2 linked regions of the Tribolium castaneum genome follow. The main gene of each other region encodes a partner of the protein of the gene in region 2 in a complex. Links are inferred from orthologs where the notes say so. Each region holds a gene or a part of one and is shown on either strand. Other genes may lie near its edges.

What was found.
Region 1: dre4 (region 2) and Ssrp share a complex: the UniProt entries of both Drosophila melanogaster proteins name them as parts of the FACT complex. The link is inferred for Tribolium castaneum from reciprocal best matches to the Drosophila melanogaster genes dre4 and Ssrp.

The regions. Positions count from the first base shown.
Region 1 is NC_087395.1:25,955,214-25,971,820, forward strand, and holds Ssrp (FACT complex subunit Ssrp1), read right to left. Parts: upstream 4,795-16,607; 5' UTR 4,635-4,794; coding exon 4,584-4,634; intron 4,535-4,583; coding exon 4,133-4,534; intron 3,921-4,132; coding exon 3,742-3,920; intron 3,694-3,741; coding exon 3,454-3,693; intron 3,400-3,453; coding exon 2,979-3,399; intron 2,929-2,978; coding exon 2,083-2,928; 3' UTR 2,054-2,082; downstream 1-2,053. Other genes in the region: serine-arginine protein 55, read right to left, coding at 1-226; tRNA pseudouridine synthase-like 1, read right to left, coding at 229-435, 949-1,207, 1,255-1,554, 1,600-1,728, 1,778-1,845; uncharacterized protein LOC661743, read left to right, coding at 5,749-5,786. UniProt on the Drosophila melanogaster protein: Component of the FACT complex, a general chromatin factor that acts to reorganize nucleosomes. The FACT complex is involved in multiple processes that require DNA as a template such as mRNA elongation, DNA replication and DNA repair.
Region 2 is NC_087398.1:7,047,393-7,063,999, forward strand, and holds dre4 (FACT complex subunit spt16), read right to left. Parts: upstream 8,845-16,607; 5' UTR 8,670-8,844; coding exon 6,920-8,669; intron 5,971-6,919; coding exon 5,363-5,970; intron 5,309-5,362; coding exon 4,328-5,308; 3' UTR 4,197-4,327; downstream 1-4,196. Other genes in the region: mitochondrial nicotinamide adenine dinucleotide transporter SLC25A51, read right to left, coding at 1,584-2,306, 2,357-2,548; Snx21 (sorting nexin-21), read left to right, coding at 2,898-2,913, 2,958-3,730; rho-7 (presenilins-associated rhomboid-like protein, mitochondrial), read left to right, coding at 9,146-9,183, 9,229-9,415, 9,462-9,590, 9,638-9,896, 9,945-10,069, 10,124-10,225, 10,276-10,373, 10,423-10,513; S-formylglutathione hydrolase, read right to left, coding at 10,598-10,780, 10,828-11,050, 11,100-11,548; eIF2A (eukaryotic translation initiation factor 2A), read left to right, coding at 12,127-12,151, 12,203-12,347, 12,399-12,617, 12,665-12,868, 12,919-13,376, 13,423-13,607, 13,656-14,006, 14,051-14,176; uncharacterized protein LOC660988, read right to left, coding at 14,660-14,815, 14,864-14,997, 15,282-15,435, 16,520-16,607. UniProt on the Drosophila melanogaster protein: Component of the FACT complex, a general chromatin factor that acts to reorganize nucleosomes. The FACT complex is involved in multiple processes that require DNA as a template such as mRNA elongation, DNA replication and DNA repair.

The sequences.
Region 1 (16,607 bases), on a different chromosome or scaffold from region 2:
GTGTCCCTCGGGCCCGTTCGACAGTCACACGCTCCCCTAAAAGTTTTTTACCGTTTAATTCATATACAGCATCGTCGGCATCGCGATGATCATCAAATTCAACAAACCCGTAGCCGTTTTTGATGAGCACGTCCCGCATGCGCCCGTAGCCCCTGAAAAAGCGCTCTAAGTCCCGCTCGGTGGTCCCGTACGGCAACCCCCCGACGTACACGCGAGACCCTACCATCGCTATTGGCCCCCTTGCAAGCCCTCTCTAAACGCGGACCTATGCCGATCCGAATACTCCACCTCGCAAAGGTACAGACCGTACGCCGGCACTGTCTTTATTCGCTCGTCCCAACTCCGATGCGACGGCACTTCCAGCATCAACTTTAGCTCCCTACGCGTTTTTTTACCTTGACCTACGGCTATCAGCGATGCCACCATGCGACGCACCTGGCAAAAGAAACACTTTTACAACGGCTGTCTACCTTCGAAAGGAAGCCATGTTGGAACGTTTCCCTCCAACTCCACCGGCCAATTTTTAGGTTATGAAACGTGTCCCAACCAAAAACAACGCTCCCACAAACACACAAGCCATACTCACTAAAAACGATATTTACTTGACTAGATCCAACGCCTCGCTACTTTTTCGACCAAATTTCAAACGTTTTAACCACTTTTTTCACACCAAAAAGGAACGAGATCAAAGTCTGCACGGAAATTACGAAAATTCTAGAGTGACGCAGCACTACCAACCCAACCATGACATCATCAATTTTCACAAACACGCAAACACCACAATTAAAACCAACCGCCACCCCGCAACACCGCAAGCCCTAACACAGCCCCAATCCAACCCACCTTTTGCGTCCAAACAGCCGCAAAAACACAATTACACGAAATCATTCAAAGCGGCCAAGTTGCCGGTCTGGGCCACAAACCGCGCGCAATTCGAGTCGTACCCACCTGGCGGTAAAGAAAACCAGTCGCTTGGACATAAATATCGTAAAACTGGTAATTCTCAGCGGAACCTGACGCAAATCGGGGCCAACTAAAGGAACTATAAGTTAGAGCCCTCCCATCGCAAACATCAACCCTGGTAACAACTCGCCGAGTGATTTTGTCGGGGTCGTGCGACCCGCGCCCCATAAAAGTCCGAAAATCATGCAGTCCTTCAAACACTTTAGCCGCCTCTTTCATTTCGTCAATATTGAAGGAATCACAGCTACAATTTTGCGTTATTTAGCCGCCTTCACCCAAAAAATGCCTTACTAAAAGAATAAACAACGCTGGTATTCTTCAATTGGTAATAAATTGAGAATGGTCGCATGTTCCGTTACTCCAGTCTTTGCGATCGCAATTCGGTAGAGATAAGTCCGCGAGATTGCAGTATGTCGACAGTGGAAATCCGGGGGGACCCAATACGTCTTAATTACACGAATGGGGACTTCATTTTTGTCAAAGTATCGATTGAGACAGATTGTTATAGTTTTGGGTTCATACTCGAGCTCATTCGAGCGGTACAGATCAACATGGCACGTGGAATTTAAAGCGTGGACCCCCGAATCGGTCCTAAAACCACACCTTGCACGTGGTTCAATTTACACAATTTTTTACCTGCTAGACAAATACACGACAGGGTCGTTAGTCGGGTTCAGTCGTTTCAAAGCCATTTCGAGCTGCCCTTGGACCGTGGAGGGGTCATCGGGCCGGGGCATTCGACCGGTGACTTGCCTCTGAGCCCCCCTAAAAAAAACATGAAAGAGCCGCGACCGTGACTGAAGCAAGCAAATACATGAAAGGGGTCCCGATGTACGAAAAGTGGAGCAAGTAGCGATTCAGAGCCATTTTCGTGAAATACATCGCTGTTATTAAAGCGAGGTTATGTCACAAAAATAATGGTAAATAACGTGCTGTTTCCCATTTATATCTCGAATTAAAACAAGCAAGGGGCCCCCACATGCACAGTAAGCATCAAAGGGCGATTCAATGTAATTTGCGCCGATTATAGCGTTTTTTGCGAAATTAAGGTTATGTAAGATTAAGGTTATGTAATAAATAAAGCCGGGTGTTTGTTAAACATATTTATTAAATAGAAACTTAATCGCTATCGGAATTGGCGTCACTTGACGCGGGTGTGCTCTCCTCGCTTTCGGATTTATTCTTCTTTTTCTTGTCTTTGGGTTTTCCGCGTTCGCTATCGGAACCCTTCCTTTTCTTGCCTTTATCATCATCACTGTCGCTACTCGAGTCGTCGTCTTCGATAAATTCCCGACTTTTGACTTGACTGGGTTTGACGGAAGGCATAGAAGAGGTTTTCTTCTTTGCTGGTGCTTTTTTCTCACTTGACTTTTTATCTTCCGATTTTGAACCCCCTGAAGCTTCATACTCCTTCATGGCCTTGTTGTACTCCTCTTTGGCTTTGGCCGCTTTCCCCTCCCACTCAGACTTATCCTTCAATTCCTTCCACATCTCTCCACCTTTCTTTGCAATTTCGGTGATTTTAATCCCGGGATTATCTGCCTTGATTTTATCCCTCATCTCATTTAACCATAGCATGAACGCCGTCGATGGTCTTTTCGGTTTATTTTCGTCCTTTGATTTCTTGGCCCGCTTTTGGCGCGGTTTCTCCGACACTGTCTTAGCCGGTTTCTTCTTTTCTTTCTTCTCCTTCTTCTCTTTTTTGTGCTTCTTCTTATGTTCATCACCGGAACCTTTCTCTTCGTCTTCGGACGACGTTGAGCTCGGACTTGAATCAAACTCTTCAGCAACGTCACTCTCATCCTGAGTTGGCTTGAAATCTTCATCAGTACTCTCATCTTCACTTGGACCATCGTCATCATCTTCATCACGTTCTTGTGCCTCGGCCTTAACCCTCTCCAAGTAGGCATCAGGGGCCGCCTCATTATCCGAATCGCCAAAATCGTCATTATAGCCCCCTTTATCCTGAAAGAACCAATCAAATTAAACCAAACCAAAACGAGTGAAATTGTTACGTTTTTGCCCCGATTTTTGATATTCAGTTTCTTGGTGGTAATGAAATCAAACAATTTGTTGTATTCTTCCTTCTCAATGCTGCTAAAGGTGTGGACAGTCCCGGATTTGAGCTCAATTTCGAAATCAAACGAACGGGTACTTCCCCCACCTCGGGCGAAATTCACAGAAGCCACTTCCTCGAAACGAATGTGAATTGGGGGCTTGTGGACGTACATGAAGCCCCGTTCAAGGGGGTACAAGTAACCAGCGGCTGCCTTGAACGAACAGCCGATAGCTGGGGTCCCTGAATGCCCGACAAAGCCCCCCGGGCCGGTCAGTTTTCGATTAATTATAACCTTCATGACTTTGCCTAAGACCTCGTAAGTGGGGCCTGATAACTCCTTATCCAGCTTGCCCTCATACTTGTCCTTGAGTTCCTCACTGGAATTATTAATTAGGAAAAAATTTTGGCCTAATAATTAATTAATTAATTACTCGGTAAAGGGTAATTCGATCGAAGTCTCCTCTTCTTGACCAAATAACAAGACCAAAAAATGATACCTGGTTTGGCCCTGTTTGATGGGTGGATCAAGACTCACTACGAAAAACATCTGCCGGTTGTCTTTGTGTGGAAGGAGAAACAAACGCAAGACTGTCGACATTGGGATTTTATAATCGAATGTTTTTCCATGCAATTGGAAAAACGTTTGGAAAATTTTAATATCGTAACGACCACTAGAAAAAAATTCTTAGGGAAATTTATTTGTGGTTTTTCAAACCAACCGTGGTGTGAGACACTGAATCTCCCGAAATATCGCAATAGCGTCGCCTGAGACACTGATAACCGAAGCCTTCTTCATGACTTGTTTTTGGAAGGCTTCAACTGGGTCCACGTCTCCGGCTAATTCGTTTGAAGGAATGAAAAATCGCATTTCCATGAGGCTTACAGGGGCGTCATCATTCTAAAATCGATTAGTTTTTGACAAAACGGCCAGAAAACGGGGAAAAAAGTTTGATTTCTAACAAAAAACGTGTAATTTCGAACGTAACAGTTAAAAACAATTTGGTGATTTTGTTATGTTTTAACGAAATTTTAAGAAAAAAGCTGAGAAACGTGTTTAAAACCTTGGTAAAAGTAAAAAGTTTGAAATAAAAATAAGCGCCCCCTTCCCACCTGATGAAACTCCATCGTGATTTCATTCTTCCCCGCCGTACATTGAGACACATGATTGAGCGGAATCTCGAAAGCGCTGTTATGTCCCACCTCGAAGCTCAAAACCGAGCCGTTGAACTTGGCTGTGCCCCAGTTCCAGCCCTTGAGACTCAACTCCTTCTCCAGCATGTCGATTTTGTAAGTGTTCGAGAAGAATTTGGCGATACGTTCCTTTTCCGCGTCCTTAAACCCGACAAATCGGTGCAAAGTGCCGTTCTTGAGGAACACGCGGATCCCCAACGAACCGGCAAAGTTCTGGAAATTGACTGCCTCGAAATCGGACGCCGAAATTGACTCGACTTTGCCCGTCTTCGAGTTTTTGAAAATGATGTTTTGGTCGGTCATTTTGAGTTTACCGCCGGTCTGAAACGAGGAAATTGAGGGGGAATTGGGGGAATGGGGGCTAACGTACCATGCAGCCTTTGACTTCGGCAGAGATGTCCGAATATTCCAGGAAATCCATCTTGGGGAAAATTCACTCAAAGTTTGGTTTAATTTACGAAAAAAACAATATAAAAACACAAAAACTTAGCTCAAGTATTTTTTGTGGTGTTTCTTTTTGTTTGGATTTTTTTTACAGGTTATGCCGCCATTTGACGCAACTTCGGCCTTGAAGTCAGGCTGCCACAACAAGCCCGCGAAACCACTAGAAATAAGTTGGCAGCGTTACGCAATTAAAAAAAATTACAAATTCAAAATTGTTATTTTATTGTAATTACAAATGTAAATTACTTAGTATTCATTGTAATAAACAAATAAACGAGAGGGCTAAATTTATTTTGTTTTATTTTTGCCCACAACCAAAAATTAGTTCTTTTCATTCTGAAACCAAAATACAACTTTTTAAATTTATGAGGTGTAATAAAATTCTGCCCGACTTGAGTTACTTTGCATAAAGCGTATTCAGTTTCAATAATAATGTCACTTGACATAAAAAATGCTCTTGTGGTCGCAAATAATCCGACTGGAAACCACAAACAGTCAAAATGAAGAAAAAGTTATTTGTGGTCGCTTTTATCTGAAAGTTTGGAAATTATCGTAAATGTTGACGCGGTTTTGGATTTTTTTTTGGAAATTCTATTAAACCAAATCAATAAAATCATGGGTGCTCAAATATTTATAAAATGGTAGGTGCGTGGACCGAAAAATATATAAAAAACGACGATATTTTAAATAATTATTAAAAAACTCCTTTCTCCGCTTTGAATGGGCAAAATCGCAGGTTGATGACTTTTTTCCTTCCGTCAATGACAGCAATACCGGAGTTGGCTGTCAAAGCCCGGCATTCACCGGATCCGCCAATCCGGTGCCGCCATTCCGGTCATATGACCCCAACTTGTTTATTTTGAGCATCAGCATCTTGATTTCAGGAGAGGCACTCGACGAGTGCAGTGGTCGTGTAAAGTGTCTCGTAATAACGCGAGTTGCTGAAAAAAAAATTCAGCGCGTTTCAGTTTTACGAACGTTTTCATTCGCTATGTAAGAAAAAAACAAAACGCGCGAATGGCAACGAGTGCTGTTTTGTGACCTGAAAAATTCTCCTCTTCCATTTGCTCGTCTTGTATGTAGTTTGGAAAATGCTGGGCGTCTTAAAGCGACGTTGGAAACCCAAAAGGTGAGATATTTTGAGAAATGGCGACCTTGACGCTTTTTAACACCTCTGTAAAAATAGACCACGAGGAGAAGGCGCGTTTGTAAATTTTTGCCAAATCTTTTATGCATGTGGATGAAAAGTAGGCCGTTTTTCCGTTTTGCAATTGTTTGGTTTATTATTGTTATTGATCCCGGTAGCCTGGCAATCCCCTCCGCGATGCTCAGCTGTTCCACTGTTGATATCTTATCGATCCGGGCAAACTAACCTCAATCTCCACCAAAAACCTATATACCACTCTTTTTCCTAGCTAATTTTTACGTTTTTGAGGAAAAAAATCCAGGAAATTCGGGTTAGAGGAAACGATAAATTGATAAAGTGATAAGATATTTGCTGAATTATAGCTAATTCGTCGAAAGTATGAGTATATTGGATGAGTCCAAAGGGTGGCTCAGTGGGAGTCTTTAAATAAAGTAGGATGAAATTTATGAGATACAAAGAAAGTAAATATTGGGGGTCATGGCGTGAAGAATGTGAATGTTGCTAAAAATAGCTCATTGAATAAAATCGACTTTTGTTAAAATTTAATTAATCATAAATGCAAGACTTGACCTGATTTTGTTGGGGATTTATTCCATTTTCGCATTGTTTTGTGCGTTTGTGTGACAGTTGGCTTTGACACTTTGACACCTTGTATTAAGTTGGCCTTGACTGTTTGACAGACAACACCCTGTATCTACCTTATTTTTATGAATTTTATGATTTATGATAGTTGATTTAAAACTTGACTTTTAGTCTAAAATCTTCAGAACTTGCAAAAATAATGTCATTTTTTGACTTTATTCTTTGTTTTATTGGCTTATCTTTTAAGAAAATTTGCGCAGGAATTGAATTTTTACTGAATAAACGCTTAGAAAATTTTCGGTCATTTTCGACCCAAATTTTGTGATTTTTTCGTTCTAGTTTAATAAAAACATAGAAAAAAACTTAATTTTTGGTCTAAAAACGTGTTTAAATCCTCAGAACTTGCAAAAATAAAATAATTTTTTACACAATTCTGTGGTTTATTGGCTTACTTTTTAAGGAATTTATGTTTTTCTGAGCAGGAATATCTGGAAACTTTTGATTTTTTTGAGTGTTGCCATGGCAACGGTGAATGGTCCATATTTTTCATTTTCCATACTGTTATGTTGCTTTTGGGACCGTAAATAGTGGGTTACTGCTCTAGGGCCAGAAACCGTTTGTCTGTCTGAAATTCGACACTTTTTACGCATCACGAGTTGCAAGAAAGACGAGACAGAGGGTAAAAAATATTTTCATGGTTTCGTACAAACGTTCCACTCGAAAGCGCTCCAACAAGTCAACTCTTTTGTTATTTTACCATCGACTATATAATTTCTGAACCAATTGTAATACAATAATGGTAGTGGTTAAACGGAGAATGAATATTTATTTGATTTTTTATGCAACAGTTGCCACCCCTGCAAGACTGCTTGCTACAAGAGAAAGGAGTTTAAGTACAGTTGTCTCAAATGTTCGTTTTATTGCGTTGAGGATTAACTTACACATAAAAGTGGAAGACTAAACACAATGAATCTGATGGGGAAAAATTAAAACTTTTCCAGTTTATTACAAACTTTGATCAGGGATTCAATTGAAAGCGTGATGGTATTTTGTTTATTCTCTAAGTTTACAAACCTAATAAAATTAATGAAAAGCCCGAACGTGTAATTTCCCAAAATTAATATTAAAGTCGTGATATGATCTTCCCGAACGCTGAAAACGTGACTAAATCTCTGTAAAAATTCAAATGAACCAGAAGTAAGACCTGGGTCACTAGATCCCACCATTCCCATCATTGTCTCTCATTATCTTATTCAAATTTCGCTGTTTTATTTTTATCAAAACAATGCCGAAGGTCACGTTGAACACATCCGGCATATTGTGCCAACTGCGAAGTCCCGGATATCTCCAAATAGCCCTAGAAAATTCCGACTTTTTCCGACGCATTGCGTGGCCCACAATTGTAAATGCAATAACTTGGAAAGTGGATATACAGAGTGTAGGTCGCTGAACTCGACTCTCGTTGCCAGACAGCGTGACGCCTCCACTTCTCACAAACGCGAAAAAACTTTGATTAATCATCACCTAGTCACCGAAAAAAGCAAAAAACTCAAAATCCATACCGGGTATGGAAATTGGTTTTTCGGGTTTTTTGCCCCAAATCAAGCCTAATCGAGGGAACAAACCTCTACGCGCCCAAAACCAGTCAAAAAACCGGAAGTTTTGCTCATTAGAGGAGCGGCTCATTGTGATTTGAGTCACTAAAGGGGAATTCAATGGACGTGGGCCAAGAAGCAAAAGTAAAACGAGCTATTTTCAACGCGAAATGACCTCTTTACTCCTCAAACACCTGACTGGAAAAATCTTTCACTTTCGACGCGTGGGCCGTATTGCATCATTTACACACAGTTGACATAAAATGGAATGATGGCTGAAGTATGGCTTCCTGGTGCGCGAAACAAAGGGAGGAAAGTGGATATTTTCCATACTTGTGCAACTTCCGGCCCAAGTTTTAGCCGAAACATCCGCGACCCAAAATAAACTAAATCAAACGGTTGAATGTGAAACTAAGGAAATCTAATCGAAATGTAAAGAAATTTCCAAAATTGTCAAAAAAAATGATAAATAAACAGAAAAATAAATAGAAGAGTAAATAAAAGAAGAAAAAAAAAAGAAAATGAAACAAGAGATATTTTCTTTATTTTATCACAAAAAGAGACATTTGTGCTTTTTCGATTTGTGATTTTCTGGGTAAAAACTACTACAGAAATTCGGGCAATATCTACTTAAATCTTCCAAACTGTTGGAGCAAAACAGGAAATTAAAGATGTTTACAAGAGATGTTTACGTGCTGTGTTTTTTTCGTTCAAATACATATATTAAATCTTTTAAACTTCTCTTCGTAAAGTTGTGACGGGAATACCTTGTAGCTTTTCCATAAAATATAAAACTGAGGCTCTAGTTATGTGCGGCGCTGATAATTATCATGAATTAATGTCTCTCTCCGCGTTCTATTTATGCCTCACATGTGGAGTACATTTCAAAAACACCGCTCCTGAGGAATGCGTCTTGAATTTCGTGTTTTATCGGGGATGTTCTATTTCCAAGCCGCTGTTGAAAAACTCGGATATTTACCATTTTAACATTTCCAAGTTTAATGTGGCGCTAAATCCGAATTTTCCTTTTATTATGCTCATAAAAGCGGGATGTGTGTCAACGAAATTATCGCAATGCCATGCGGAAATGGGGCTATAGATAGAACGAACAATGATTGCAGCGACCCACTTGAACAAAATCAAATTCTGGGAGAATGCACTTTCGCCCAAAAATCGCACATCATGGGAAAGTCGAACGCTTTGATAATTAGCGACGATGAATATTTATGAGCGTTTGACGGGATTGCGCAAAAAATACGACACTTTCTAATATTCTCCAATATTTTAATATAAATTAGTGGACACTTTATTTATTTTTGATCATAGAATCCTAATTAAATTTGTGCCAACGTAATTTTTTTTTGATTTATTTTTGAAAAAAAAATCAAAATTTTTAAAAATAATTTGAAAAATCCGATAACTGGGAAATGCGAATTTTGTAAAATCTTTAGTCCTTTCTTAATTATCTTATGGTTGGGCAGTGAGGATGGCACTGCTTGGAAGCAGCTGTGTACATGTTAGCCACCAGCAAGATATTTTCAGTGATATAGAAAAAATTCAATTTCAAGTAACAAAAAATTGTGGTCTCGTTATTTGGAAAGAGAAGCATTTGCCTGTATTTTACGTTTTGGGAAAAGCGGTCTCCCGATATTAATAAACATTATAAAAAGTCCTTAGTACCTACATTAGATTTTGTATTTCTTAGATAAAAATTTAACCCCAATATCTCGAAGTCATTTAGTAAAGGATTGGTTTTGTCTGTCTTTTACACATTTCCCTTGAGATGCTATGCAAAATTTTTAAAACTATGTATTTTTTTCTGTATCTCTGTGCACCCGATTTTTTTTCTACAATTCCTTATAGTAATTATTATCAATGAATGGAAAATATTAATAGTTGTATTAATAAAATTAAAAATATGAAAACATTAATTAACCAAACTGTCGTTCTAAAACAAACGATGCTTAAATGATGTTTTGTACAAAAAAATTTGAAAGAAATTCACGTACAAGTACCTACATACAAAAAAAAATTAAACATTTAATAGCAAACGCTGAATTCTGGATTATTATACGAGTGGTTTCTATTTGTTTCGTCGATTTGTTCAGTCCATTTCAGTTTTTTTGTTAACTTTTTTTGTAATGGAAAGCAGGTGTACTTGGGCTTCCCTTAGAGTTTCAACATCTTCCGAGAGAATCTTTTGTATTTCTGAGAATTTAATTGCACAAAAATACGAATTTAGCGTTATTTGACATTTGCTGTCTGCTCAGCTTTCTCAATCTCCATTATTAGAAATCTTCATTACAAATTGATTTTTTACCGAAAATAATCAAATTAAATTTTAACCTATTGTTTTCCAAAGTAAAAAGTAGATTTTGACGTATTCTAGACTTTTGATCGTTTATCCATTTTTCCATTTTTGAGCAATGAAAAAGGAACACATAAAAATTACATAAAAAAATAACAAGAAAACATTACTTTAAAAAGAAAAAAACATCACTGATGCTTGATGGATCAAAAATTCAGTTCAAAGAATTAATACGATAATTCTGTCCATGAATACCATCAGATACAGAAACATCATTTTTCACATCTTCCAGTCTTAGTTGATCGAGGTTTATTTTGCCCTCTCTTCCTCTCACCCCGCTCTTGACTATGGGAGACTTTCGGCGGTAAAAATTGTCAAAGTAAAATGAAAATTCGCGTTTTTTTCAAAACTAATAATAATTTTCCTAGTTTCTTTGGTCGCATTCTATTCGTATCATCACAGTGCATCTTTCCCCTACACGTTTTTTTTTAATATTGTAAATATTTCTTCAAAATTTTAACAAAAAAATGTTAATTAATTTTTTTTTCAAAAAATACTTGTTTTTGTCGCACACTTGGTTTAACTCTGTCGCCAATACAATTTTTTTCCAAGACGAAATTAAAACACCAAAATCCCGTGTAAACATTGTCGCCAGAACACACAAACCACCGTCGAACCCGTAAATATTTTCGTTCGTTATTTACTCGCAGGTCCAAGGTTGTAAATATTTAGCTATCGGTAGCGAAATTTTCCCATTTGTCATTCAGGTAAAGTTTGAAAGTGCATTCGTGTCGCGATAATAAGGTCAGACACTGTCCCATTATCGAGTGGGCTTGGTTTCGATAAACCCAAAGTGGGCGATTCAACAACCTACTCGATTTTGAATCTATGTATGTGAGAAAAACACATTCAAGCCCAATCCTAATGTCACGGCAGATGTTTTTGGCCAAATAACTGTTTTGGTGCATCTGTTGGCCCGCTTTGCATAATTTCGGATTAAGTCAATTGGCGTCAAATCGGGCCGATTGAGTGGCCGGCCACCAAACTCACTCAGTCGCCAGCTGTTCCTCTTCCACCTAAATTTAGTGTCTGTGTTTTTGTTATTTCCGTTTTCGTCACCTAAGCCATATGGCTTACCGCACTAAGCAAACACTTTGCTCTTTTGTAGTACTCTCTTTGCGTGTGAAAATCAATAAACAGGGAAAAAACCGAGCTAAATGAACGCTCGGATGGGCACGTGTTACTTGAACTCCATCTCGAATTGATTACATCCGCGGACAGGTGCTCCGTTTTCGTTCACCTGTTGTTAATTTTTATCAAGCGTTGATAATTGATTGTTGGAGATGTTGCGTCAACCTATTATCTTTTTACAACTTTCATTGACGGTTGACACGAATCGAACTAATTATGTGTGCGCTTTATTCGGATTTCTATACACATGTTACGCCATTTTTGGGATTGAGTGCGTGTGGCAAGCGGAACGTAATTTAGGTTACCAGAGGTTAAAATTAGAAAAGATGTCTCTCCGTAATACTGCACAAAATAACTTGCTTGGTGGCCCGAAATTTCAGCATCTTCACCAAGCTGCAAAAAAGTTATCCCTCAACTGACTTTTTATTTTAAATTTAGTCAATGAATTTATGTTGTTTTCACAGGACGGACAACACAATTTTGGACAGAGTTTATCGTTTGTTTAATCAGAAATGTTTTTATGGCCAACTATGCAAAAATAGCTGTGGTTAGTAAGAAATTTTCTACAATGTCAAAAAAGCCAACATAACTTGAAAATTATCACAGATAGGTATAGGGAATGCTAATACAAATCGATGCAGAAAAAAATTCTCTTCCATCCAGTAAAATAAAAATTAGGACATCTCATATGAAAAAAAAATAAGTTATGGGTACTTGAAGTTGTCCAAACTTAACCTTGAAATTTTTGGGTTTATTAACTTCTTTTCCAATTTTGAACACACTGGAGAACAGATATAGGCTTTCTCTTTGAATTCTCCAAATATGATTTCGAAATCTCGGAAAATAAGAGAGTTACTGATTTTTTAAGTGACAGGTGCAAATCCAAAAATTTTCAAAAAATCTTAAATAGCTCGAAAACGGTTAAACTTAGGTATAGGGAAAGCTCATAAAAACGGCCTTAAAATAACTCAACTAATCCAAAAACGCAGTGAAAAATATAGCTTTCCATTTAAAATAAGAAAACTGAGAGCGATTTCCGGTATAACCGGACGTGCCACCATCTTGAAAATATTTTCATCGAGCGGAACTCAACGGATTATGGCTGAGTACCAACTTTCAAATAAATATCTTTATTAGAACCTTCCATACTTCTGATGTGGGGTTTAGACGGAACACACTGTATAAAATTTTTTGCCGACGTTTTTGCTTTCAAATTTAAATAAAAAATACAGTCTAATGAAAAAGAAAGAATTTGTTTGTAAAGATTCGAGTTTATTGAAGAATCTCCAATAAAAATGAAAATATTGTGCGATAAATCGTCTTCGCATTGTATTTGTTGACCCATCGACAGGTGGAGTTTAACGATGCGTTACAATTCACGCTAACAAAGCGCAATTACCGACCTTTCGACGGTGGATGTGGTGATAAATCCCCATCTCTAAACAATACAGCGTGATTCGAAAAAGTGCGCCACATGATTTACTTTTGAATGAAATTCCGTAGGTGTCTAAGCCGCCTACCAGTGTTGTGTGTGTTAAAAACACGGGCTTGGCGGCTTGTGATCCAGTATTTGCCGCGAACACGCAAAACGATTTATTACCACTGGTGTATCTTTAGCTGCTCCTACATGAACATGAATCAATGGACCGATTCTTGCATAAGCGGCAGAGAAAGCACAAAAATTAAACAAATGGACTCAAGATGGGTCTCAGTTGGGGAAACAAGTAACGGGATTGGGCTGTCGCGTTTTATGCTCGCTGGATACACAAAAGCAAGGAAAAAATTTTTTTTATTTATTTTATTCTGTAAAAAAACAGTCAGTTGTAAAAATCTTTTGAAAAAGGCCCGAATGGCCAGTCCGGGCCTGTTCTTCCGTTTCAATTACTTGCATAGCCAATAGATTGAGATTTATCGCGTTTAAGTCAACTCTTCCACGTCTCTTATTTTATTATGCAAATGGCATTCATGTCTTTGGCCAATGAATCATTCGAACCACGTCATTTCTCTCCCCCTGGAATAAAATATGTAGTGTAGCCCGTAGCTGAATAAACACCGTTTCATCAAAATCAGGTTTCGTCCAGAGAAGAATCCAAGTTGTAAATTGAAATTGTAAATTGGAGCCGCCTCAGTTTGAGTCTCTAATTAAGTTTTCTCCTTCCTGTGGGAAACTCTCACGCATCATCATCATCATGACGGTCAGGTGTAATTTTCTCTTCGTGAAAAACGTGCCTCTCCGAATCCCCCTTTTCAGTGCAATTTGCACCACGTCATCATCACTATATTGTGATCTAATCAGGCATGCTGTGCCCCCTTTGAAGCCCAGTCCTGTCGTGAGTCATCGAGTGAATTTTTTCCAAAGAGCTTTTGACACTATGCCAAAGTTTCATCAGACAGGATGACGATATCCGGCTTATCAGCGCACCGGCGCGGCGGCGGGACTACTAATTAATTATCAAAATGTTTGACTATTTTTATTTGAAGCAATTAGGAAAGACTAAAATAAGCAAAGTTGGTTGAACTTGCACTTGAGCTAGAGAAGAGAGCCTTACCGGTAATTGCCCGCCTTTGGGATTCAATTGTTGCCTGAAAAATGCCTCCTCTACGCCGGCAGCTGACACGAACGTATAATTTCTCGAATTACTCAAATTACAGACGACTTTTCCTCGGTTAGCTCACGCTGGGGAGATATATTGATCGGAGGTGGCCTTGCATGGGCACAACCATGGTCAACATCCAGCTTTTAACACTGATATTTAGAATTTGAAATTGAGTTTTTTAAACAATTAGAATTTGCGCCAATTTGGGGAAAACATTATTTGACACTTTTCGTTAAAATTTTAAAGAAATATTTATAATATTTCAAAATCGTGTTGGGGAAGATGCACTGCGATGATACGAATAGAATGCGACCAAAGAAACTAGAAAAAATATTATTAGTTTTGAACGAAACGCGAATTTTCATTTTACTTTGACAATTTTTACCGCCGAAAGTCTCCCATAGTCAAGTGCGGGGTGAGAGGAAGAGAGGGCAAAATAAACCTCGATCAACTAAGACTGGAAGATGTGAAAAATGATGTTCCTGTATCTGCTGGTATTTATAGACAGAATTGTATTAATTCTATGAACTGAATTTTTGATGCATCAAGCTTCAGTGATGTTTTTTCTTTTTGAAGTAATGTTTTATTGTTACTTTTTTATGTAACTTTTATGTGTTCTTTTTTCATTGCTCAAAACTGGAAAAATGGATAAACGATCAAAAGTCTAGAATACGTCAAAATCTAGTTTTTACTTTGGAAAACAATAGATTAAAATTTAATTTGATTATTTTCGGTAAAAAATCAATTTGTAATGAAGATTTCTAATAATGGAGATTGAGAAAGCTGAGCAGACAGCAAATGTCAAATAACGCTAAATTCGTATTTTTGTGCAATTAAATTCTCAGAAATACAAAAGATTCTCTCGGAAGATGTTGGAACTCTAAGGGAAGCACAAGTACACCTGCTTTCCATTACAAAAAAAGTTAACAAAAAAACTGAAATGGACTGAACAAATCGACGAAACAAATAGAAACCACTCGTATAATAATCCAGAATTCAGCGTTTGCTATTAAATGTTTAATTTTTTTTGTATATAGGTACTTGTACGTGAATTTCTTTCAAATTTTTTTGCACAAGACTTCATTTAAGCATCGGTTGTTTTAGAACGACAGTTTGGTTAATTAATGTTTTCATATTTTTAATTTTATTAATACAACTATTAATATTTTCTGTTCATTGATAATAATTACTATAAGGAATTGTAGAAAAAAATTCGGGTGCATAGAATTACAGAAAAAAATCCATAGTTCTAAAAATTTTGCGTAGCATCTGAAGGAAAATGTGTAAAAGACAGACAAAATCAATCTTTTACTAAATGACTTCGAGATTGGGGTTAAATTTTTATCCAAAAGATACAAAATCTAATGTATGTACTAAGGACTTTTTATAATGTTTATTAATATCGGGAGACCGCTTTTCCCATCTCTGTCCAAATAACGAGACCACAATTTTTTTTGTTGGTTACTTGAAATTGAATTTTTTCTATATCACTGAAAATATCTTGCTGGTGGCTAACACGTACACAGCTGCTTCCAAGCAGTGCCTTCCTCACTGCCCAACCATAAGATGATTAAAGCAGACCAGAAGATTTTACAAAATTTGCTTTCTGATAACTTTCCCGTTATCAAATTTTGAAAATAAAATACATTTGTGATCAGCAAGAAATGAAAATTCGGCGCCGTACCTTAGTTTTTCAAAATATTTTTTATTTCAAAAACTTTTAATTTAAAAAAAAATAAAAAAATAGAAAAGTGTTACGATAGCGCAAATTTAATTACGATTCTATGATCAAAGCTTTTTTTTGGTTCCAAAAAAAAAATAAAATGATGATAGAAAAATTAATTGTGCTTAGGAACACATTAAAACGTGTTCCCCTTTTTCAATTTTGAGAATTCTAAGAAGAATTTGGCAATTTTTTTCTTTAAAAAAGGGTTGGACGTTGCTACAGTAAATATTTTTTGCTAAAGCCGGGAAAAAGTTCATCGTCCGTTTGCACGTTACAAAAGGCACCTGTTCCATCCACCTCGGCATCAATCAACGTCTCCCTGGCTATTTCCAGCCTGCATTCCGCAGCATATTACGCATATTACGTTAAATATACCCAAGTAGCGACATACTTCAGCTGCTTGACCAAAAATTTTACCAAATGTGCAACAGACGGTGGTGCGGATTATGTGTTGCGGAACTTTGATTTCAAATCAGTTTAATTATTGGACTGAAAAAATTATATCTTCACTTTTTTATTACAATGTTCCGTTAGCTAGCGTACAAGAAGAAAATAATTAAAACGGCCGTTACCAACCATTTGACATATTTAAAACGGTGAAAGAACTAATCGATCGCTCGTGATGCGATACGGAGAAACGAGACTACGCAAAATTCGCATACATTTTACATTGCAGTTGTATTTATTAGTTTGAAGAATTAAAGGACAAATTTTGTTTCTACATTTTTTACCAATTAAAGAGCAAGGCGAAGCTTTTAAATTTTTCCCAAATAATTTTAAATTAAAGAGATTGAAGGTAAGAGA
Region 2 (16,607 bases):
CTGTATAATTATATGCTCACTGTATTTGCACTGACAGCAAACTTCGAAAATGGCATTTTAATTAATGTGTTTTTCACAGAGTCGTTTGCTACAAAGAACTGATAAAACTAATGGCGATCGCCCACGGAAATGATTTCATGTTATTGTGTTAATGTACAAATGAACAAATTAATCCATATTTAATACAAACATTTAACTTACATCTACTTAAACTAAATCAGTTTTGCTCTTGTCCTTTGTTATTTACAAACGGTATTTAAAACAAGGGGAAGAATTTAGTCGTCCTTAAGGGTCTAAGACTAATCCAACATAAAGCCTGGCTCAAAATAAATGTCGCAATAAAATTTATCTACTAAAACCAATTTAAGAAGTTTAAATCTTAACCACTAGTGAAATATCAACTTGGAACTACAATAGGGGAAAGACACCATAGTCCCTGGTAAATACTTATTTAAGAGGTGGTTGGATTTAGAAAACCTTCTAACAAGAAAAAAACGAGTTAAAAAAACATTTATACCAATGCAAATTTCAAATCTTTGCATGCTCAAAACTGGATTTGAAAATGAAGTAAAAAATAACGAAAGTTTAAACATAAGCAGATACTTATATAAAAAGAATATTGGTGAACACGAAATAACTACTATTTATTACTTTAACAAGTATTATTTTCTGATACCTGATACCTATTAAATTACTCAAAGAATTCTACGCTTCATTACAAGTTTTTTTATATGGTTCATTTAAAATAAACAATTTCCGATGGAATAAAATATAACTACAGGCGTTTACGTATGTTTTTTCTCCAAATAAATAAATTTTAATTTTTGATCTAACTTACCTTGTCTTAATTTTAACATAGCGACTTATAAAGAGGCAGGAGGATCAAAGCCCTTTATTTGTCGAAAAGCTGACAACTATATACATACCTTTATTTATAGGAACTCATTAATATGTAGTATAGTATCTCCCAAACGTGAGTTGTTTACACAATTTCAACAAAAAATTAAGTATGTAAAGTAAAGAAAGTAAAAAATAAAGTTAGAGACAGTTTTAGAAAAATGCTCAAACTTGGAGCAATTGGTAGAAAGTTGACTATGTTTAAAATCAATTAATATCAACAAACTTTTATTTTTTATTAGATATTATTTTCGAAAAACCAAAAAGGAAACCAAACTATTATAATTTTTTTCTGAATAAGAACTTCCAAGAAAACTTCTTTATGTTTTTGAATAATTAAGTGCAGATTTTTTTGACAACTCCCCAGTTGTGATGAAAAAAAATATTTTTTAAATTTTCAATTCACTTTATTCCGTATTCGTAAGTTTGAACTTAGTACACTTTTATCCTAGGGTACAGAAATAAAGCAGCATTTTACTTTTGCTAAAAATTTCTTTATTTGTTTTTTTTTATTACGTTCTTTGAAATGCTTTGAGTAAGTGAAGGTAAAGGTAAAAGAAACACAGTGTTCAACAAAAATCTTTATTGTATAAATAAATAGCAGTTTTAAAAAAATACTTTGCTTAACGAAACAGGTGATCTTATGAGTTGTAGTTACATGAAACATCACACAAATTGAACAACACTTACGATACAATACTTTTTAAATTCTCATAAGCCGCATTCATCACTCCCCAGCTGATAAATGCTCTCGTACAGTTGGTCTGAACTCCGTGATAAATATACCTAATTTTCCTACCTCTTTCGTTATAAATTTGTACTAAAACCTTAAAAATATTCTCATAGCCGCCCCCAATCTTGCTCTGCATCGCAACTTTGAGAACATTAAGTGGATAAAACACGCTGGACAAAAACACACCTATCATAGCACCACAAAAAAATTCGCTAAGAGTTTCGTAAAACTTTGAATTAAACCTAGGTCTGTAGTATTGTACTTCATCCCTGATGACAAAAAAGCCCACATTGGAGGGCCCATTTCGGAGCAAAACCGGGACCAAACCCCGGTAGTACTCCCGAAACCCGTGGTTGAGTCCTACAACTTTAAATGCATGCAGCGTGTTCCTGAACTCCTTGTGGTAATGTGCGTCCGCAAGCAGCGTCTGTATCCGCTCAAACGGCATCAAGATCGCCTCGGTGGTTCCCGCAACCATGCCCCCGGCAAACTTCGACAAATACCCATTAAAGCCCGACAGCATAAGCGGGCGCCGCACCTCCTCGTAAATCCCAAACATTAGCGACATCGAGAGCGTCTTTTGGCACAAAGGGGGCAGCATGCCCCGATATAAATAAAACATTCCTTCTTTCTGCAGCTGGCGAAACGCACTTAACGCGTTAACGCCATGCAACATCTGAAACTAGCCGTTTAAGCCCCAATTTGTGGGAAAATTAGCGCAATAACCTGTCGAAAAATCACTTTGTTTATCGGATAGGTTATTGTAATGTTAATAAATGCAGCGCTCCAACCGCATGCAAACTCCTTCCAATTTATCTGGTAAATGTCCTCCAGAACCAGGGTGTCCCCAACCGTTGGGTCATAATCCTCGATTTTATCAATGTCCAGCATACTGACATTCGAGACAAATTTTGACATCTGTCAACATCTTAGGTTATGTAACTCCGAAAGGCGAACTCACCCCCTTACCTTTAATAACAATTTGGTTTACTTGACTAGGGATACAATTATCACAAATTCATAATTTACTTCAGTTCAGGGGTGTTAACAAATCATTTTTGTGCCAGTAATTCGCGCATCGCAGCGGGCGTGACGTCACTACTGACGTTTAGGTTAATTATTGACAAGTGACAGTGACGTTTTTTATCTACCTTTTGTTGTTATCTGCAAAATGTGTACACAAAGGTGTATAAAAGTACTTGTAGGTGGGGATAAGGGCAATATTGACTGCGTGGGGGCGTAATTATGTGAACAAAACATCTCAAATATGACCCAAATCTTAGGTGACCAAATCGCTTATTTTGTCATTTCCTACGTTTGGTTTCAGGCAACGAAAAGCAGGGACTAGTTTTCGAAATACTGTCAGCGCGAATATGTGACGAAGGCGAGGAAAGGAAACATGTAGTGTACACGCTGCAAGTGCGTCACATTTCAGGAAACGACGATTTGAGCCCTTCGGTGGTGGAGCGGCGATACACGCACTTCCTGAACCTTTACAGCGCCCTAAAGAAGGAACACCCGAACTTAATGACCAATGTTACATTTCCCAAAAAAGTGATAATAGGAAACTTTGATAATGAGCTGATTTCCACCAGAAGCACGGGCTTTGAGTCCCTGTTGAGGCACATTTGCACCGAATCTAAACTGCGAGCGTCTAAGGCTTTAGTCGAGTTCCTTCAAGGCGTTGAAGTGGAGAAAGCACGGACGTTTTTGGAAAAACGGGACTTTTCGTCCGCTTTGCCGCTGCTTGAAAACAATTTTAAACTACTAAACAAATTTTATACTGATCGGTCGCCGGTCGTGCTTATCGCTTTATGTAGACTGTTAGGGTGCTGCATGTCAATTCCCGAGTGTTCACAATGCCAAAAATGGGCTGATTTAGCCCTACATAGATATGAGGGGGTTAGTGATAGTGATTTGTTGGAGTTGTATGTACCTTTATTGAATGCTTGTATCACAATTTGGTGGCAGAATGGACGAAATAAAGATCTGCTTGAGCAGCGGTTGCAAGATTTGAAGAGACAAGGGGTCAAAATCAATCCGCAATCGACTTTGTTGGACGAAGTGAAGGCAGTGGAGGGAAAGATATTTGGGTTGTAGCAATTTTCACACCAGTGTTGTGTACTTAATTAGCATCGCGATATTTTACTGATATTGTTAACGTATTTATTTTGGAGTTTTATTTGTTTGACGACTGATATTTGCAGTTATGGGTAGCAATACTCAATATTTTCTGTTTTATTCACGCCTGAATATACATCTTGTTTATTTGCTTTTTGTTTTAGTACTTTGAGCAAAAAATAGATAATAATTTTTTTTTTGTACTTACACCGCGGGATAACTCACTCATACAACTTAAGTAGACCAAAAGTCCTCTCTGTTGTAAATATACCCACTTACCTCTCCCCAAAAATTCCAATTTCTTGCCAAATTTACAGCCGTAAAACGCCGTCAGTTTGTCATCAAGCAACAGCATTTGGTCTTTTCAAATTTATTACATGTTTTGCAATAACTTCATAAAATGTAATACACGAAAACTAAGAATTCCGTGCAAATTAAACCACGGTTTATATCAAAAGTTTAATCTGTACATTCAGTGGAAAGAACTTAGCCTGAACGAAACACAGAACTTGAAACACAAATCTCTAACATAAAAATAACTTATACAAATACAACGGTAAAAACAACTTCCTCGAATTACTTCTTCGACTTCTTGGACTTGTGTTTATCGCTGCTCTCCTCCCGACTGCGCTTTTTCGAATCCGAATGCGAGCTTCTGTGATGGCGGTCCTTGTCTTTCGAGGGTGAAGATTTCGATTTCGAACTTGAAGAAGATTTACGCCTATCACTATCTCTGCTGCTATGTTTCGAACTCGAATGTTTGCTACTTGAGGAATGATGGTTGTTTGAATGTTTGCTCGGCGAGCCTTTGTGGTTGCTTTTACTCGACGAGTGTTTGCTGGGTTTGCTCGACTTGTGATGCGACTTTTTCCGGTCGAAAGTATCGTCGAAATTGCGTTCCCGGTCCTCCTCGGCTGCTTCCCGCTCCAGGTCGGACCAGTCCTTCCCGGATTCTTCATCAGATCCTAGATCGTCCTCCCCGGAAGCGCTTTCGTCACTCTCCTCAGTGTCGCCTTCAGAGTATTCGGAATCTTCCTCGCTTTCTTCCGACACGCTTTCCATGTCGGTCGGTTCGTAAACTTCGTCCTCGTCCTCCGTTTCCTCCTCTTGGGCCTGGGCTTCTTCGTCCGATTCCGGGTCCAGGAACGTCCATCCGCCGCTTTCGAAAAATCCCTCGGGATCATCGGTGATTGTTTTCATGATTTTGACCCAGTTTAACGACTGGACACCTTCGGAGTAGCGGATGTCGCAAGAGTTGAGCCATTCTTTGACATGGTCCAGCATATTCATCGGGATGGCGTTCACCATTGCGGTTTTGCGTTGGTAGTCCTTGAAGACGAAAATCATATCGAAGTTTTTCAAATGGAATTGGACTCTTTCGAAGTGGACTAATTCGACGTCTTCGAGCGTAATTACGAACGGGGGCCATTCGGTTAAATTGACGAGGCAACCCGACGTCGGCTGGAGTAATACTGTGGACCTGTAGGGGGCTCCGGGAAAGCCGAGCTCCCGGAACGGCGTATCGAACTCGATTTCTTGTTTTGTCATCGCTTCGACCTAAAAATACGAAACACACAAATAAAAACACAAACAATCAGCTTATGAACCCACCTTTTCGCAAAAGCTCTTGAACGCCGTCTTCAGCTTGTGCCTCAACTCCCTCTCAGACTGCTCAGCAGCCAAATCATCCCTATCATGCATATGCTGGTGTTTGCCTAAATCAGTCGTGATTTCACCTACTTCCGTGTAAAACTGCACGTCCACGTGCTTCTTTTTCCCGAACATGATCGCATGCTTCAGGTGAAAATGCAAAAGTATGATCATTTCACCGTCGCAAGGTTGAAAGAATGCATTCTTAATATTATTGTATAAAATATCAACTTTGTCGCCTCTGACTGAAGTGTACCGGAAACCGTTACTGTGAGCTTCCAAAGCGCCGGTCATACGCTTTGTGACGATATTAGGTCGTATGTAAAGATCTTTAAGCTTGGGATTGCCCTTGTTCTGCGACAAGACCAGCGTGTCTTGTTTAACAAGATCTTCTTTTTCGCGTTCTTCCGCTTCGCGGGTTTTGAATTTTCGTTGTACTTCCTTGATTAGTCGGAATGCAGTGTTTAGGTTCGAAGAGGGAGGGGAAATTTCTCCGGGCTCTTTGGTGTTCAAACTGCGGTAGGTAACTTCTTTGACGAAAGTGGCTTCAGGCTGCTGGTAGTTGCCACCTTGAAGTAATAAACAACCACAGTTAAAATGAAAATTCATAGATACAAACTGTGGCGTCATCTCAGCTAAGACACCCTTTCATAACAAATACTTTTTAAATCATTCTTATTCGTTTTTGAAAAAGTGCAAAAGTGTAATTTTTCAAATATGTACAATTAACTGATGATAAGATGAGACGATGAAAGGATTTATCGAAAAATTGTTCGTTTTTATGGCACTATTTATAAATATAGTGGCAGGACTTCGGCACTGTATTATTACGACGTACAGTGATTGTGAATAACGCCACAAAAAATGGACCAATATTCTTAAAAAGGAATAATTTTTTACGGTAAATACCAGCGTCACATCGTGTGACAACATAACGCAAAATGTTTGCATCTTAATTCGATTTATTCAAATTTTTGATAATATTTTTACAGTACTTTCCTTGAATTCCACAAATAATTTAGATCAAATTAAAGTGAAAAATTACAAAAAAATAGAGGAGGTACAGTCAGATGTGTAAAATATCTGATTAAAAATTCGTCATAATTAATCGCGACTTCTCGACTGCAACTCAAAAAATGTTAAATTTTGGTGTATTAAACTTTTAAATCGTCAAAGAATCGACCAATAAAAGTTTAACTTGCAAACAGAATTACAAGTTACAGCAAAGAACTAAAGATATTACACATTTCGTTTAAAAACATTAAACTTGTAATTTTTATTTGGAAAACCATAATTTCAGGTGATGCAGAAGCTTAAATAATGACCATAAATTTGATACAAATTTACTTAAATATTTAAACAGATACGTAATGGTGCATTATGAACTTTCCCAACTTGATACACAATGCATAAATTAAATAAAACATACCGCGGGCATTTTTCAATGACATATTTCAATTAAAATCCTCAGATTTTTTTTAAATAAACGTAACTAATCAGTTACGTTTATTTTCTTACCATCGGTCCTGCCCATGGTGGATCCGGGATGGAAAAAGTTGATCCGAAGGTACGTGTAATCGCCTTCGACCGACTGCGATATATTCTTAATGGTGGAGATATGGAACGGCACTGCAATTCCATAAATCGGCAAAATGACAGTTTCATATTTCTGATCCACGTAGAGTTTCAGTTCTTTGACTTCAGGCACACGGGGCATTTGATTGACATTTTTATACGACACTGTGCTTTTCCTAACTTTTTCAACATCCTTCGATCCCGATTGTTTAGCAAGCCGTTCCTTTGCTTTCTCGTTCAGCATCGAAGCCAATTCCTTCTGATGCTCTTTTCGTTTCTCTTCAGACGTATGTTCGGTTCTAAGTTTGGACTCCAAAACGGCGGTGCGTTTGCCCCTCCCTAGTATTTCAGGTTTTGGGGCATTTTCTTTCTCATCGTCGTTATCCTCATCATCGGACTCATCCTTGAGAAAGATCCCGATATTTTTGATTTTCTTCTTGGACATGGTGAGGACCGAGGCCGGTTGGCCTTCATTCACCATCACAGTGTCGCCAATAAACAGCGCGTACGTTTTGCCCTCTTTATCGGTCGCATCTTTGTTCTCCAGGTTGCTAAAACCCATGTTGACGTTGAAGACCATTCCCTTTTTCGCCGGGAGAGTTGTTTTTGGGCCGATCATAAGCGAGCTCTCTTTGAATTCAATCCCCGTTGCGAAACCGAAATTTTTGGTCAGATTATCCGCCAGTTCAGGCTTTTCTTTCTTAACAAAGTTGTAACCGGCTTCGTATACCTCTGAAAGCTTTGTCCCGGCTTGCAATTTTTTCAAAACCTCTTCTTCAAGGGTAACGAGGAAATTATAATTGTTTTGTACTTGTTCGTTTGGGTTCACAAGCAACGTGCGGACAATGTTTGAACAGTAGGACTTGTACCGGGCGCCCAGCGAGCATATGATGGCCCCAAAGTGTAGAGTGTTCTTGTCACTCACTACACTGAATTTTAGGCTGTAGTTGCCCCCTGACTGGATTATGGCAGGATAGCACATATCAACCTGAGAAACATCGACGCCCGAAACGTATTTTTTGTCGGCGATTGCAGACTCCACGCCTTCCGCCAGTTTGCTGTGCTTGACTTTGCGATCGGAGTCAATTATCTCCATTATCTGGTCTTTGAGATACTTGGTAAACACATCGACACTCACCATGCAGGCTTTTTTAATTGTTATGATTTCTGAATCTTCCTTTGGCGATAGCAAATAGGCAATAGCCGCGCTCACATCAACTGTCTGGAAGCTAACTTTGGACAAAGCCGCGCGCCAGGCGTCCATGAAAGCGCCCGGGTAGTTGTCTTTGGAGAAAACCCCGATTGTTTTCCCGTTCTTGCTCTCTTTGATCGCGTCAATGAGGAGCTTGAAATTGGCCTCGTCGCTCGTGCGGTCTCGCACATGCAGAGACAACTGAATCGAATTCTCGTCCTTAGTTTCGGCTTGTCTCAGAAAATCAATTTTTTTCTTACTGGCCAGGAAGTGGGCTTTCTTCTCGGTCAGGACCATGATGGTGTCGGTCAGTTCGTAGCCCAAAAGCCAGGTCTGGAGGGCCCCCGACTTACTGTAAACCACTTCGTCGTCCACACCGACGGCTGTAACCAAAGCATCCATCTTAGAGAAACCATTCTCGCTCTCCGATTTTTGCCAAGCACTGTACAACTTCTTTAAGCGGCGGTGAAAAGTTTCTTTGTCCAAATTTATGTTTGCCATTGTCGATTGTTACATGCGATATTTACACATTTAACACCACACAACAACGCAGCGGCGTTACATGAAGAGAAGGCGCCAGATCGAGACGTTATTTTGCGCACTTTGCGCAAACACAAAAGAGCGGTAACTCGCAAATGTCAACAAAATGTCACAAGACTGCCATCACTCCAACACCAAATAAACCATTATTTCGAAACGAATTTCCGAATTTGCCCATTTTTCCACATTTTAAGCGATACGATCGCAACCAATCAGCTTTAATTAAAATCTATTCCTTATCGTGACCTTATCTAAAACAGCGACTCAAGTTAATTAAAAATTAACGAGTAATATTTTCTGTCAGAGACACCAACATAACGCACACTCCTGTCCCCACCATTTAGTTTATTCGACAACACAATTTCACAACTTGCGTTAATTTTTCGCAAAATTTCATGGTTTTTCCGTTAAAATAGAGCATAGTTATTGCCAGGATTATGGCTCTGAGCCGCATGCTTCGGCTGGGCGAGTTATGGTGAGACCTAACCCAACTTTCCCACTATTAACCCCCAGAATGTAGCACCTCTCGAAGTACGCTTTTAATGAAAAATTCGCCCCCGAAGTCCGTACGTAATTTCCGCCGCCGCAACAATGAGCCCCCCAAGCCCAACGTTAGCAGTATTGAAACTCCGTTCCAAGACGTCAGTTTAGGAGGCTCCAGTTTACACCCACGCAATTTGTGGAAGCCTTTCGGATTTACGATTGGGGTAACAAAGAACAGAACGAGAAGAATTACAAAACGTTTGATTTTAGTTTAGTGCCGCTTGCTTTGTAGGCGCAGCGATATGGGAGTATGAGAACATGAGGGCACATGCGATTAAAATGCTGAAAAAACCAGTAAGACTGTTTAAGCGTCAAGCAGATGAATTCCATTCTAGATCTGTAAATATCCAAATTGACGTAATTGGATTCACCTTGTGCGTTTTTAGCATACTTTATTGAGGCAAATTGAGGAAAAGTGGAAGCTTTTGACGCCTGGTGAGAAGGTTTTTGTGCCTATTTGTCTGATAAACGTGCTCGTGTTCGGCGCGTGGAGGATTCCGAGGTTGCAGCCCTTCATGTTGAAATATTTTTGTTCAAACCCGGGAAGCAAAAGTGTGTGCTGGCCCATGATTTTGTCGACTTTTAGCCATTACTCAGGGTTCCATCTCTTGGCTAATATGTACGTACTTCACAGCTTTAGCACAGGTAAAATATTACTTTGGCTCCACATTTTTGCCAACTTCAAATATTCAGGTGCAGTACACAGTCTGGGTAAAGAACAGTTCCTAGGACTGTACTTGGGTGCAGGAGTTATTTCGAGTTTTACCAGTTATGTCTACAAAGTTATTACCAAACAACCAGGCTTGTCGCTAGGAGCTGTAAATATACTTTCCCAGCATTTAAATCAAAATTTAAGTTAAATTTTATTTTAGTCAGGGGCTATTATGGCGATTTTGGGGTATGTTTGCACCCAATATCCTGAAACCAAATTAGGGATTATTCTACTGCCAATTTTTACATTTAGTGCAGGCGCTGTATGTCAGCAAATTTCGTTATTATTTGCCTCTAAAATTTATTTTTATAGGCAATTAAAGTAATCGTGGGCATTGACACAGCTGGAGTATTGATGGGTTGGAAATTTTTCGACCATGCTGCACATTTAGGAGGAGCAGCTTGTGGAATGTAATAAATTAATTCATTGCTAAAGTTTTTTCCTAGCTTTGTTTTACAGAATGTGGGCTTTGTGGGGCAACCAATATTTGTGGGCGAAAAGAGAACCTATTCTCCACTACTGGCACGAATTTAGGGGCTCCATAAAATAACTACTCCCAGTATTTATTATAAACTTTGTAATAAAATGTATATAATTATTATTTATTAAAAATCAGCGTTTTTATTACCAACCCTTACTTCAGCAAGTGCTCCATGTGGTATTTAATGTGCTCTTCTATGAAAGAAGCAATGTAATAATAGCTGTGATTATACCCATCTCGTTTTTTGTAAACAACCGGGACGTGGTGGGTTTTGCAAGCTTCTATCAAATTTTCAGGTAACAGTTGCTTGGCATGCAAGAAATTGTCTTCAGACCCCTAAAAAAATTAATGTACAACCATTACTTCTAAAATATAATTATTACCTGATCTACAAAAAGCTCCAATGGGGGGCCATTGTAAGTCTTGACTAGCTCAGTGGCGTCCCACTGCGCCCATTCGCCCGACTCTTTGGGCCCCAAATACCCACTAAATGCCTTAATGCCCCAAGGACAGTTAGATGGGTTACAAATCGGGGCAAAAGCGGAGACTGATTTATACATCCCTGGGTTTTTCAAAGCGCAAATTAACGCCCCATGTCCCCCCATACTAAAACCATTTCCGTTATTTTTACGGAAACGAAGTGTTCATTACGCACCTGTGCCCCATTATTGACTGTTTCCCACTCAAAATTGGAAAATTATCACTAATAATCTTCACCAACTCATTAGTAACGTAGCTATACATCTTGTAGTTGTCTTTCCATGGTTTCTGCGTAGCATCGACGTAAAATCCGGCCCCGACCCCAAAATCCCAAGACTCTGAATCACCAGCAATGTTCAAGTTCCTAGGTGAGGTGTCAGGATTTACAATAATGACTCCATGTTCAGCGGCGTATCGCTGTGCTCCTGACTTTTCGATAAAATTGGCCTCTGAACAGGTCAGTCCTGACAACCAATAAATAACAGGGAGCTTCTTCCCCTCTGCTTGAGGCGGCAGATAAACACCAAATTTACTGACACAGCCTAAGGACTTGGACTCGTGGGAAAACACCTTCTGGAAGCCTCCAAACATCTTGTTTGAGGAAATTTCGGTCAAGGTGCCCATCTGAAGATGATTTAAGCAATACCGTGCCGGTGCAGTTCAGAAATTTTACCTTTTGTGCCAAAAATCTTAACAAGTCTCTTTGGAAAATTTTGGTCTTGGAAGTCAACACGTCACTGCTTTGACCGGTTGATAAGACGATACTCGCCGGTGGCCGGAATTTATAAATAAATAGATTGATGTGAAAATTGGTCTTCAAACGTCAAAATTAGAAAATCACTTGAACTACTCTAGTTTACTTTAGGACTACTTCTAAAAATTACATTATCTGTTATAATTTATTATTACAAATTTTAATACTACTTTTAGACGATTACAAAATTAAACCTAATAATTTGTATAACGATATTATAACAATTTGAATAAAATTCGTAGATCAACGTGTGGTAGAGCAAGTGGCTGGTGGGGTTTTTGACAATTCGTCAATGACAGAAATTTTTCTTTTGCCATAATTTCTTTAATTTTCAATGAAAAATGGCAAATAACGTGTCCTCCACCTTGTTTATTTGATTACTTTTTACAACTCTATCTTACTTTTTGCTAGAAATGTGTTTCTAACACGTGTTGGACGTAACCTCATCATGGCTTCAGCAATCCCATTTGCAGGTAAAACTTAAAAAAATCGTAATCTGCGACTGCGATAACACAAATATTTAGCTCGCAGTTCGAGTGGCATCACGTTGAACGTGGGCCCACCTGTCTTCACCGACTTGGGGCAATATGGCCCCGTTCAGAGCAAGACTTGCAAGACCATGTTGTTTAGCCCTGACGGGCAATATTTTGCTTTCGTGGACGGGTCTAAGTTAGTACAGGATTTTCACCTTTGATTTATTATTAATTCGTTAAATCGCAGCCTGAAAATTGTGCGTACGGAGGATTGGAACGAAGTTGCAACAATTCAAGGTACAAAAGCCTGTTACTTATCATTTTCCCCCAAAAGTACATATTTGATGAGTTGGGAACAGTTTTACGTCACTAAAGACGACCCACAAGGAAAGCCAAACTTAAACATTTACAAAAGCGAGACTGGTGAACTTGTCAAAAGTTTTGTTCACAAGAAGCAAGGCAATTGGTAAATATTTACTAAAGTTTGTAGAACAGGTAACAATGACTTGCTAGGGAGCCTCAGTGGAGCGCTGATGAGAAGTTATTTAGCAGAATTTCAAACACCGACGTTGTGTTTTACGAGGATCTCAACTTTGAGAAAATTGTGGCGCGAATAAATTGCCACAAAATCGCGGCGTTCAGTTTATCTCCAAACGTTGGGACGTATTTCATTCTTTGCCACGTGCCTGGAGCCTCAGGTCAGCCGTCATTTGGAAAGTAACTATTCCTCGCACTGTAGGGGAAAATGACTGAGACTTTCTTTTAAGACTGTTTAAATATCCAAACTTTGACGCAATGCAATCAATCGCTAGCAAAAGCTTCTTCCAAGCTGATAAAGTCGAATTTTACTGGAATTCTAAAGGCAACAACGCCCTCCTTTTAACAACGACAGAAGTGGACAAAACCGGCGGTTCCTACTATGGCAAGCAAGGCCTCCATTTTATGGGCTTGAACGGGCAAACAGCCATGGTTACAATGAGCAAGGAAGGGCCAATTTACAGCGTGGCTTGGTCGCCAAAAAATCACGAATTTTGTGTCGTTTACGGCTTTGTACCAGCCAAAGCCACAATTTTTAATTTGAAGTGTGAACCGGTTTTCGAATTTGGCACCGGGCCAAGGAACGCACTCTACTATAATCCCCAGGGAAATCTTGTGCTTTTGGGCGGTTTTGGGAATTTGAGGGGACATGTGGAGGTGTGGGACGTGGCGGCGAGGAAACTGATAGGTTTGTGCCAGATATTTTATTTAAATTTAATTTAACAATGCTTTAGGAAATTGTGAGGCGCCGGACTCGACGCTTTTGGAGTGGTCTCCGGACGGCATCCACTTCCTGACGGCGACAACGTCCCCCAGACTGCGAATTGGAAATGGGTATAAAATATGGCACTATTCGGGGGCGCTTTTGCACGAAAAAAATTCAGGTCCCCAGGAAGAGTTGTATGAAGTGTGTTGGAAGGTATAAGAGACGGTGGTCGTAAACGCTTGTTTCACCTTGATTTTGTAGAAATTTCCCAAATACGCGTTCAAAGACCCGGTTATAACGTCGGAAAAAATTGAGGGTATAGCCCCCAGCCAGCCGGTGGCTTCGAAACAGGCCTATCGGCCCCCTTCTGCGCGCAACCGTCCAACAATACGTTTCAACTTAGACGATGATGAGGAACAATCCCACAAGCCGGGGGCAGACTCTCAGTCAAAAGCGTCTCTAAAGCAGAAGAAGAAGCGCGAAGCGAAAAAAGCCAAGAAACTTGAAGCTGGAGAAGACAATAAGGAAGTTTCAGCGCCTGTTGTTAGTAGCGTCCAAATTAATTTGACAGGGGATCCCGAGAAGGATAAAAAACTTAAAAATATAAAAAAGGTGAGGAATTTCCACGTGTGATTTTTCGCCAATATTTGTTCCAGAAATTGGATGCTATTGAGAAGTTGAAGGAACAACAAGCTCAAGGAAAGCCCTTGGAAATCAATCAATTGTCGAAAATTAAGGGCGAGGCGGACTTGTTGAAGGAATTGGAACAACTGCAAATTTAATCAAATGCTGTGAAATTTTACTATCCATATAACCGGCATTTGACACTATTGTTTTCAATAAAAAGACTAAAAATCGATACGTTGCGTTTTATTGAAACAGGATTCAAATTACACAATAAAATAATTTAATGTATTTTATGTACAAAATTATATCTCACATTGACTATTTACGAATGTGGCGTTGTAAAAGCCGCCCTACGTAATAAGTGTCCTAGTCAGCTACTGGTGCTGAATGATATAATACCTACCAGTATTAAAAACAGCACGATCCCACCTATCTAAACATAGAAATGCATGACCAGTCTTAGGGAATTATGTTACAATGATGAGAAGAAAGAATTTATCACAGAAAAATACTTTAACCCTCGAATCTTAATCTATCAATTATTTGTCATTTGACGTAGTCTTAAATTGCAACAACGATATGTTCAATATCAATAAAAACATGTCCAAAATATATAAATTTCGTCTCAAAAAAATCGTTTATAAAGCTGTGCGTTCGTCGTAGACTATGACAGCCTCGTTGTCGACTAGGGAGTCTGTATCCTTGTGAAGAAATTGACTTCTGGATTTGCTTAGAGCTATAATCGCCGCTTCGTCGTTGCGCATGCGATTTTTTCGTTTCTTGCTAAAGTTCACCTGAGAATTTCGCATTTTATTATCCTGTAAAGCCATCTCAACACCCACCTTTGCATACAAGTCGTTTAAATCATCTTCAGTTGACAGAGGTCGCGGCTTCGAGCGGACCCAAGCAGGAAGGCTTCGGGTTTTCAAAGTAGGTTCGTCGGAATTCTCGTCCTTGGTGCCGACTTCGTCCAAAACTAACAACCACAAGTTGAAATATTTTAAACCCATTCGTTTTTTACGCAGTTAATTGGGGATTTTACGCTCCGGTTTGATGGGATTTCGTCGTAAAACAAAATGTGACACATAAAACTTTAATAACGGTTTAAAGGAATCTAGTTCAGTGGAAATAGCAGATCGAAAATAGTTTTCTTGTAACTATAAAAGCGATTGGTACAGAATTTCGATAATGAAATGTGAAAAAAGCTTATGGGAACTACTTTTGTGACAAGGCATTAAAAAAATCCAAAATCAGACTTACTGCTGCTCGAGGCGTATTGTACATTCTGGGGTGAAAACTCTGAAATTTCAGGCATCGGTGATTTTGGTACAATTTCCCCATTCGTGGTAATTGGAGGACCCAACTGAACTGGTTGACTCACCGGCCGTTGCCTCCTCGTTGTATTAGGCTGACCCTAAAATTTCAATTACATACAACCATAAATCTAGGAGCTGCTAACCCAGCACATAGGCTGTTCCAACTAAACCCCACATTAGAATTACTTGGAGTTCTAATAATTCTAATTTTTCTCCTTTTTGTTATCTGTTCAATTTGATATGTTTATATTTATATTTATTATTTTTAATTATATTATAATATCCTTATTAGTATCGTAGTTTTAAGTTCTATGTATTCATCAGATAAGATGAACGAATAAATTATTATTATTATTATTAATATTATTTTTATTATAATAGTCATGTCATGCATGCAACCATAGTCCGTTGGATCTTGATCAATGAAAATATTTTCAATATTTTACTGCATTTTTGGACAACTCAAATTATTTTAAGGGAGTTTTTATCAACTTTATCTATACTTAAATTTTCTCGTTTTCGAAAAATTTAGGGTTTTTTAAAAATCGATAACTCTGCCGTTTTTAAAAATTTTGAAATCTTCTTTGGCTTATTTGAAAGAAAAGGTTTAAATCTTTTCTCTGGTGTTTTCAAATTTCTTAAAAAAGCTCGCAAACCCCAAATTTTTAAGATTAAATCTTGCAAAAGTTCAGTCATAACTGGAAATTTTTAAATAAAATGATGCCCCAATTTTTATTTCACTAAATGGTAGAGAATTTAATTCTGCATCGATCTTAGTTATACTAACTTTTCGTTGCTACTGAGAAATTCATTAGCCATATAGCTCTTTTCGCATAGGTTGCCATTCAAACGTGAGCGAAATATAAGAAGTCAAAGTTTATTTTTAAATTCATATTCACTGAATTTTTATTTTAACGGAAAGGAAGGCAAACTTTAAAACAGAACTTGTTTATTCAACCAGAAATGTTTCTTTCCCAACTGTGCAAAAATATCTCTGGCTAATTAATAACCAAAAAAAAAAAAATGTGGAAATATAAATCAGCCTGTTAACTTTTACTTCCAACAAGCGTTTTTGCTTTTCTACCAAAATTTTCTTAACTAACTTGAGAACTTGTTTCATTTTGTTTCGGAAACTGAGGCGCTAAACTCAATTCCCAAATTTAAATTATTATTTTGTCCCACCTGGGAGGAGGGTCCGGGGTGGCTGCTGCTCCTCGGCACGGGGCAGACGCCCGGGCACTGCGTGCACTGGGGCCCGCCGATCACCCTG